Oryzias latipes: one gene and its partner. The protein of the gene in region 1 purifies or fractionates together with the protein of each later gene. This does not show direct contact. Links are inferred from orthologs where the notes say so. Each region holds a gene or a part of one and is shown on either strand. Other genes may lie near its edges.

The links. Proteins that work in one complex are often made in the same cells at the same time.
Region 2: the proteins of akap9 (region 1) and csnk1d purify together in Homo sapiens (affinity purification with mass spectrometry; 4 studies listed by BioGRID and IntAct, counting the BioPlex papers as one, with this or other methods). This does not show direct contact. The link is inferred for Oryzias latipes from reciprocal best matches to the Homo sapiens genes AKAP9 and CSNK1D.

What each region holds. Positions count from the first base shown.
Region 1 is NC_019869.2:411,925-416,170, forward strand, and holds part of akap9 (A-kinase anchor protein 9), read left to right. Parts: coding exon 1-397; intron 398-933; coding exon 934-1,068; intron 1,069-1,141; coding exon 1,142-1,186; intron 1,187-1,273; coding exon 1,274-1,405; intron 1,406-1,566; coding exon 1,567-1,611; intron 1,612-1,693; coding exon 1,694-2,509; intron 2,510-2,591; coding exon 2,592-2,649; intron 2,650-2,711; coding exon 2,712-2,830; intron 2,831-2,898; coding exon 2,899-3,069; intron 3,070-3,139; coding exon 3,140-3,307; intron 3,308-3,426; coding exon 3,427-3,671; intron 3,672-4,113; coding exon 4,114-4,246. UniProt on the Homo sapiens protein: Scaffolding protein that assembles several protein kinases and phosphatases on the centrosome and Golgi apparatus. Required to maintain the integrity of the Golgi apparatus. Required for microtubule nucleation at the cis-side of the Golgi apparatus.
Region 2 is NC_019866.2:24,956,886-24,961,231, reverse strand, and holds the start of csnk1d (casein kinase I), read left to right. Parts: upstream 1-1,707; 5' UTR 1,708-2,099; coding exon 2,100-2,175; exon of another isoform or gene 2,176-4,346. UniProt on the Homo sapiens protein: Essential serine/threonine-protein kinase that regulates diverse cellular growth and survival processes including Wnt signaling, DNA repair and circadian rhythms. It can phosphorylate a large number of proteins.

The sequences.
Region 1 (4,246 bases):
GAAGGTCTCTGATCTGGAGGACAGGCTGAGGGAGAAGGTGGCAGAAGCTCTGGTCAGCCAGGCCACTCTGGAGGCTTTCCAGCAGCACCAGCAGGAGGAGACGCCCGCAGAGGAGCTGCAGAGGAGCACCCACATGCTCGCCCTCCAGCTGCCCAGCCTCCCCCCACTGGGATTCAGCGGACCACACCAAGCACCGCAGATGCCCACGGGGAAGCTGGCCCGTCTGACGCAGAAGCTCCTGGACCTGGAGGAGGGACTCGGCGCCATGCAGAAGGACCAGGAGCTCCAGAAGGAGCTGCTCTCCAGCTCCGAGGAGGAGGTCGACCAGTACGAGAGGAGGCTGGGCGAGCTGATGGACCTGCTGAGTCAGATGACCCGCCGGAGGACATCTGCAGAGGTGAGCTGAGGATCCCACACAGACGTTATGCTGAATCAGCAGTTTGAGAGCAGGAGGACGTTCAGAGAAAAGCTGCACAGATTTGGAGGAACTTCAGATGATTTTTAGTTCAAAGCTGGGAGGAAAGCCTCTCGTCCCGGCTGCCCTTACGGGGGATTTGGGGTGCGAGCCTCACTCTACCGCGGTCCATCAGATCCAGTCAGATCCAGTCCTCACACCTCACTAACCACAGCGTGAGGCGTAAGGACGCCGTAGGCAGCTGTCATTATCCTTACCAGTACTTCACAGACACCCACCACACGCACTACAATGGTACGGCCCATTTTCAGGACCCCCCTAAAGTGGTGGTACGAGCCTGAAGGGACCACCTCCCCTCCCCTTAAGATGCAGCCGCTCCTCTCTAGGACCAGCTGTTTCTGAAACCCACCTGCAGGTGTTTTCACGCCCACTCCTGGACTTTCCTTCCGTCAGATTCCTCCTCCTGTTTTCTGATCTGAAGCTCTGCAGGTTTTCAGAAACTCTCCTGTTTTCCTCAGACCCCCTCTGACGATCAGCCACCTCCATCCGACCTCCTGCAGGAGCTTCAGGAGGTCAAGTCGGAGGCTTCAGCCGCCACAGACGAGCTGGAGAAGTACACGGAGGTGTGCAGGAGGCTGGAGCAGGACCTCCGAGTACGTGACGTCTCCTCCATCATTCTGACCTTCTGATCTTCTCTAGAAATGAACCAAAGCTTTTTGTTTCCAGGAAAAGTCTTCTACAATCCAAACTCTGCAGGTCCAAATTCAGCAGGTAAGATGAGAGCGCACGTGAGAGCGCACGTGTGGCCCGCTGCAGCAGCAGAAAGCCATGTTTGATGCTGCCCTCTTGTGACTGCAGAGCGGCTCACAGTCTGCAGAGCCTGGAGTCTGTGAGCGGAAGCTGCTGGAAGCAGAAGCAGAAGCCGCCGCCGCCAAAGAAGAGCTGAGCAGCAGCAGAGAACGTCTGGAGAAGCTGCAGGAGCTGCTGCAGGTCGGTAACCACGGCAACGCCGCGGAAGCTCTGCCATGACGTCGCCAGAGATGATCAGTAAAACTGACGAGAATCCGAGTTTCTGCTGATTCACTGTTCAGCCGGATTCTTCACCTGAGGATTGATGAGTCTGAACAAAACAAATCCTGTTTTTATTTCAGGAGCGAGAAATGACCATCGCTCACCTGAAAGGAGAACTTCTCCAGGTACGTGAGGAACCTCTTCCCGGTCTTCGGCCGGTTTCTCCTGAAGCGACTCTTTGGTTGATGAGCTGGTTTGGTTCTGCAGGTGAAAGCCTCGGGAGACGCCGCTGACACCGCGAAGCTCTTCCAGGAGCTTCAGGAGGTCAAAACGCAGGCGGCGTCCAGCAGAGAAGAGCTGAGCTTTTACCGGACGCACAGCGAGAAGCTTCAGGAGGACCTCAGAGCCACGGAGGCTTCTGCTGCCAGGCTCGGCGAGGAGCTCCAGGAGCTGAGGAGGAACGTGAACGCCACCAAAGAGGAACTCAGCGGCTGCAGGCTGAGGAACCAGACGCTGCTGGAGGACCTTCACAGCCGAGAGACGTCCATTTCCAGTCTGAAGGAGCAGCTCCAGGAGGCGCAAACAGCTTTGATGAAGACCACAGGGTCTGGCTCTCTGTCCCTCTCCCCATCTCCTCAGCCTAGCTCCTCCTCCTCCTCCTCCTCCTCTCAGCCCAAAAGAAAAGGAGGCAAACAGCTGGCTGGGAAGGTCAGCAGCACCAAAGACAAGCTCTCAGCCACCAGGAAGAACTCTGCTGCTTCCAGCACGCCGTCCGCCAAATCCCCCAGCCCTCAGCCAAGAACCTGCTCAGAGGAGCAGCCCTCCACCGCCGTGACCTCCTTCACCCAGACTGAAGCTCTGCCCGCTCCTGAGCCCAGGGCAGCTGCCACGGAGGAGGTGGAGGAGGTGATCGGACAGTTCCAGGAGAAGATCGACCAGATGCAGGAGCTCCACGCCGCAGAAATCCTGGACATGGAGGCGCGGCACATCGCCGAGAGCGAGAACCTGCGCAGGGACCTGCAGGCACTGGAGGCCGAGTGCAAAGCTCTGAAAGCTGTGATTGACGAGCTGCGCTCTGCCCAGGTGACAGCAGGAGGAAGACGATGAAGATGATGATGATGGGCACTACTCCACGCTTCCTCTGACCCTCTGTCTGTCTCTTTAGGCTCCGGCTTCACGGCAGGACCGCCCCGCTTCACTGTTCAAAGACGGGTACACCAGCGGTGAGTCTGTAGAAAAACCTGCAGCTGGGTTTCTGTTCCGTTTCTGAACGTCTGTCTCCCAGCAGACAGCAGCTCTGACTACAGCCAGAGGACGGGCTTGGGGCTCCTGCAGCAGGAGCTCAGGACCACCCCAGAGGGGGCCGGGAGGGAGGCTGAAGACCCGCTGCCGGACAGGATTAAGGTACGCCGTGTTCTCCTGCAGACGCCGTCACAGCGCTCCTCCTCATGTTCTCCTCCTGCTCTCTGCAGTCCTTGATCCGTGAGGTCCACCAGGAGGGCATGCAGGTCCTGTCCCTGTCCGAGCTGCCCCTGTCTGAGGGCCAAGCAGCACGCCACGGCGGCGTTCCAGGCTGGCAGAAAGAGAGGGACGCCGTCCTGGCCACGCTGGAGTCCTTCAAAGCCGTCGTCGCTCAGGCGCAGGTACGGGAACCTCTTCTGAGAGTCCAGCGGCTCTTCCCTGCAGACGGTTGATCTGATCCTCCTGCTGCAGATGGCGAGCGGCGCAGACTGGCGAGCGGACCTGCTGGACGCAGTGAGGCAGGTGTTTGAGAGGCAGAGGAGCGTGCTGAAGAGCGCCTGGTTCAGCCAGCTGGGTCTGCTGGACACCAGTGACGCCGTCGTCCATCTGAACCAGCTGGAGCTCAGACTGGATGAACAGGTGACGCGCCGGACCCGCACGCCGCTTCTGAGGACGTGTTGGTTTACTCTAGAAAAGCCTGAAATGTTTGTCCCAGCATCTGAACCCGTTTGGATCCTAACGTGCTGGTTCTGGTGCAGGACGCGCGGCACAGAGACGCCATGGCGGCCCTCCTCACCGCAGAAAGAGCCAGTCTGCTGTCGGAGATTCAGCAGCTTCAGAGTCGGCTGCAGCAGGAGGAGGGAGGAGCAGGCGGAGGAGCAGGCGGAGGAGCAGGCGGGCCGCGGCCGGAGGAGCTGCAGGCTGAACTGTGCCAGACCAGACTGGAGCTGGAGGCGGAGCTTAAGGTCCAGCAGAAACACCTGAGGGAGCTGGAGGGACTCAGGTGACTTCAGGATGAAATGAAGCTTGGAGTTCAGATTTACAGCGTTTTAAAGGAAAAGTTCTGATCTGAACAGAAAAGAAACAAACTTTAGGGACGTCTAACTGATCCCAATGCTTCTGTTAAGCGTTCCTACAATGATGCACATTAATATCTGCATGATGATATGATGCTGTTGTTAACTGCATGTAAAGAAAACGGCAGTAAAGATGAAAAACCTGCAGCTCAGTAAACAACAATCCAATCTAGAGGTTTTTCTGAGGATTCACAGACCAGAGTCAGAAAAATGAACCGATCTGACAACGGTTCTCCATGTGGACCAACCACAGAGTATGAAATATTCACGACTAAAATGCTGGATCGATTCTCCGCTTTGAGCCTCAGAAAAACAACAAGTTCATGAAACCTGTTTCTCTGGAAATAATGAGCGAGTTTCCACCGACAGGGCGGAGGTGTCGCAGAGAGCTGCAGAGGTGGAGGAGCTGAATGAGCAGCTGATGGACGAGAGGAAGAGGAGCAGAGACCTTCAGTGGGCCGTGGAGAAGGAGAAATGCAGGACCGAGAGGAGCGAGGAGAAC
Region 2 (4,346 bases), on another chromosome or scaffold:
AACATAATCATGATTTTAAAAGTGTTTCTAAGTTCTTTGTTGTCGTTTTTTTCTTTCATTTCAATTACAGTGAGCTTTTTAACACCATCCTTTTAATGTATAATTTTAATTTTTGACATTAGAGGTGGCTGGTCTGGTTTTGGAGGGGTTTTAAAGAAAACTTTATTTTTAATTGGAGTTTAATTAGCTTCATGTTAAATACAATTTAAACTGAAACTTAATGTAATTCTAATAACGCAGTATGAGTCATAGGTGTTATGTACTCATCTGAATTTACTTTTTACACTTTTTTTTCTTTTTTTGTTGGTCACTTGACTCATTAACCTTTGAGGCTTAAGGTATTGTAAAGAACTATGTAGAAGGTTAACCCTGTTTATTAACATGCATTTCCAGATTCTGATGTAAAATGCTACAGCTCATTCATGCAAGGCAACATGACAGGATGAGCTTCTTTGACTGTAGGTGACGTGTGGAAGACTAGGAGTGTCTTATAGTACAATCTGTGATCAATTTCAGTATAAATAAAAAAGAACATCTAATAAATAGGATTTCTAATCAAGTAATTCATGAACATTTTAATAAAATCTATTACAAATGTATAAAAAATGCAGCCAGTAAAAGCAATGGGATTTAGGAAAATCAATCGCCTCATTAAACCAACAAAAGTAAAAAGATTTTCTAACCTGAAGTAGGAATAGTGTGGTTTGGTTGTCTTTTCAGAAAACGAGAGCAGAGCTGTGGTTTGGATGAAGAAGTCTGCAGGGACAGAGAAGAATGTTGGAGATCTTCAGAACAACCGGGAGACAAGAGAAGAGAAGATGGAGGTGGGACTACGCCAAGGATCAGCTTTGAGCGCCTTCTTGTTTCTTTGGTGATGGACAGACTGAGAGACGAGGTTAGACACACAAGCCTCTTAGTATGGCAACTCCCAGCAGTGGTTTAATATAAGTAGAGTTTATTCTGCTAATGGAAGTTCACCTCAGTTAAAAAATCTTAAAATAAATGCCAACATTTATTCAAATCGTTTGTATTTTTCTTCAAAGTCAGAGAGCCACAATAGTGGAATAAAAGCGCCGCGTGAGGCTCACGGTGGAGACCCCCGGTTCAGACACAGAGTCAGGAGGAAGAGCTGGAGGCAGCAGAGAGGAAGATGCTGAGGTTCTCTGTGGGACCAGGATGGATCAGGAATGGATCCATCAGAGGATCGGATCACAGATGTTCTGGAGATCCAAGCAGATGGAGATGTTTAAGAGGAAGAACAGTGATGATGATGGTGAAAGGATGCTGAGGCTGGAGCTGCCAGGAAAGAGAGGAAGACCAAAGAGGAGGGTCATGGATGGAGAGGAGGATGCAGAGAAGGTTGGACGGAGTCCGATGATTTTCTTTGGCGCCCCCTAAAGGCAGCAGCAGAATGAAAAAGAAGAAGCAGTAAAAAAAAAATTCAAATGCATTTTCAGATCAAAATATTTATTTATCAATGTAACAAAAATAGTTCCTGTTTTAATTTCAAAGTGTGATTACAGAATACTTTAATCTGTATAATCTGTGTATCAATTGTTGCATTAAAATCATATTTTGTCATCTCTATAATTATTTCAGTGTCTTATATTCAAACCGCTGTTTTGCTGCTGTCTGCTTGGAACTCGACACCTTTCAAACTGCCCCCCCCCCCCCGCTCCTCTGGACCGGAAGTGACGTCAGAGCGGAGCAGATTGCTGAGTTCTGCTCACAGCAGCGCCACAGGACGCGGGAGACCCACAGCGACGCCAGACTCTGTCCAAAATCCGTTGTCATCCTCGGAAATTTAGCTTTTATCGACCTAAAAGACATCACGAGCATAACGTGGACACTTTAAGCTTTCTAGAAAGCGCTGTATTGTCACGATATGACGTTTGTAACATTTTAAAAGCGAAGGCGAAAGATTGTTGTTGGAAGCCGTCTTCATCCGGATACATACTGCTCACCGGGGAACGGATTTTGGGCAGAAACCCGCCGCCGCTGCTCGTTCCCGCTTTTCTTTGTTTTTTATTTGATTTACTGCCAAGTGCTTTAGGTCTGAACGTTTTCAGAGAGAGCTGGTTGACCACAGAACCTTCACCATGGAGTTAAGAGTTGGAAACCGATACAGACTGGGCAGAAAAATTGGAAGCGGCTCGTTTGGAGACATCTACCTGGGTATGTTGTGACGGAAACGCCGTGGTCTGGTCCCTACCTGCCGATCAGGGGAGTCGGGCGGCTGGTCTGACTTCTTTCCGGGGTGTCCTGAACGGCTCAGCGACGATCAGCTGTTAGCAGCATTAGCTAAGAGGCTAGCAGACTCGGCTGTTGTCTGAAGCAGCATTTAGTCCGAGATGTTCAGAATTCTTCCTGTTAAACTCTGAAGATTTGGTCTTTGACGTTTTGTGACGGCTTAGCGTACCGATGGTGGAACTGGACCGGTTATAAGGACGCAGTTCTGGGACGAGGCCCTGTCTGTCCGTCTGTCCGTCTGTCCGTCTGTCTGTCTGTCTGTGTGTTTCTGAAGGACTCAGAAACCGAGGCTTCATCATGTCCTTAAACGAAACACTTCCGTTCATTTATGCATGTGTTCTTGTGTTTCTGTTGTGGATTTACCTGAAACACATTTACTCTATAAGGAAGCGTCCTGTCTGTCTGTCCAGATATAATCAGGAAGGCCCAACGTCCACCAGGCAAAGGTTTCTTTACATCCAGCTGTCTGTCTGTTTCCTGATCCCATCTATGACATCGTATTGTTTGCTAATGGTTACAGTCTGGGATTGGATTATGTTTCTAGTTGTACTTGTATTCAGCAGCAACAGCATAGCTGGAGTCTGACATTCAGCTCTTAACAATAAAACTGTGTAAATAAAAAAACAATCCTGAGTTTTGGATCGAGACCATTTTCACAGCTGAAGATCTCCACTCAGAAAAGACATTACGATATAATGTGGACGTATCTGACTGTCAGTTATTCTCCTCCACACATTTGACTGTATCCAAATAAAATCAGATGGGTGTTGGAGAAGCAGCACATGACCGTGACTTTCATACGTTGGCATTTCAAAGCTCCTTCCGTTTACGTCTGGTTCCTGCTTTTTAGTGACTCCAGAACATTTCACAGTGAGGTCAAGGAAAAGCCTCCATGGAGGTAAAAATGTTGTTGTGACTGTTGACTCCACCGTAGACATGTGGAGGTCATTCCAGAAACCTTCTCAGTAAGAAGTTTATCCGTTTGAGCCTTTATGTGTGGCCCTTTTGATTTGCAGACATTAGTAATGTTCAGCGTTTATGATTTCCCCTTCATAGTACCAGACAACAAATCTGCAAAGAGGAACAGGCAGTAAACAAAGAGCCACAGCGGATTATCTGCAGGAAGAAGCTGACATGTCTTGTTTTTATTTCTGCGGTGATGATGATCAGCAGCCAATCAGCACACTTCTACCTTAGTTGTACTTCTGTTCTGAGGGCAATGTTGCCTTTTGTATCAGGAACATGCTGCTGAAGATCTAGTGTGGGTGGTTCTATAGAAAACCCCCACTGGCTTTGCTGCTCTTCTGTTGTGTTATGGAGCTATAGTAATGGGCTGTTAGCTTTCAGCCCAGTTCAGGTGTGAACACAGCAGAGTTTTGACGGATTCTTTCAAACGTTACACACCTCACTTGATGAGCTCAAACTGATGACTATCATTAAAGTGTAATAACACGTGTGGATATCATGGTTTAACTACAAACTCCATTAAATACACCAGGCTGCCATCAGCCTGTGAAGGCGGGCTCTGCTTGAGGTTAATCCACTGAAAACACACCTTAACGTTGGAAGAGGACAGGGCTCTGCAGGCAGAAACAGGACCCAGGAGAGTAAATAATTGTATCCAGCCCTCCTTCCACGTGACCGCCGGGCCTGATGGCGTGGAGCCAGCTGCTTGCATAACCACTTTATGGTTTTTGTCTTCTGCCCCCAGAGAGATGACTAACCTGACCTCCGGGTTTAAAAACGTTTAAAAATGCATCTCTATAATCTTCATTCTTTCATAAAGCTCTAGATTTGAACTAGAACCAACAGCCTGATTCTGCCTTTTGTGACAGCAGCAGGGCATGCTGGGAAGTGAAGTTCTTAACTATGCATGCATTTTTCTGGTGAGTTGTAGTTGGATAGCTTTTGGTCTGTGGTGACTGATTATTAGTTATAAAGCTGGTGTCTCTTTGAATTCCCAGCTACTTTAATGGTTTTACCTGTTGACATGTTTACTGCATAACGACGCTTCACACTGAACAACTGATTACCAGCTTTGGATCACATTTTTTTAATAACTAGAATATTTTAAAGTGCTTCACATACAAGTATGC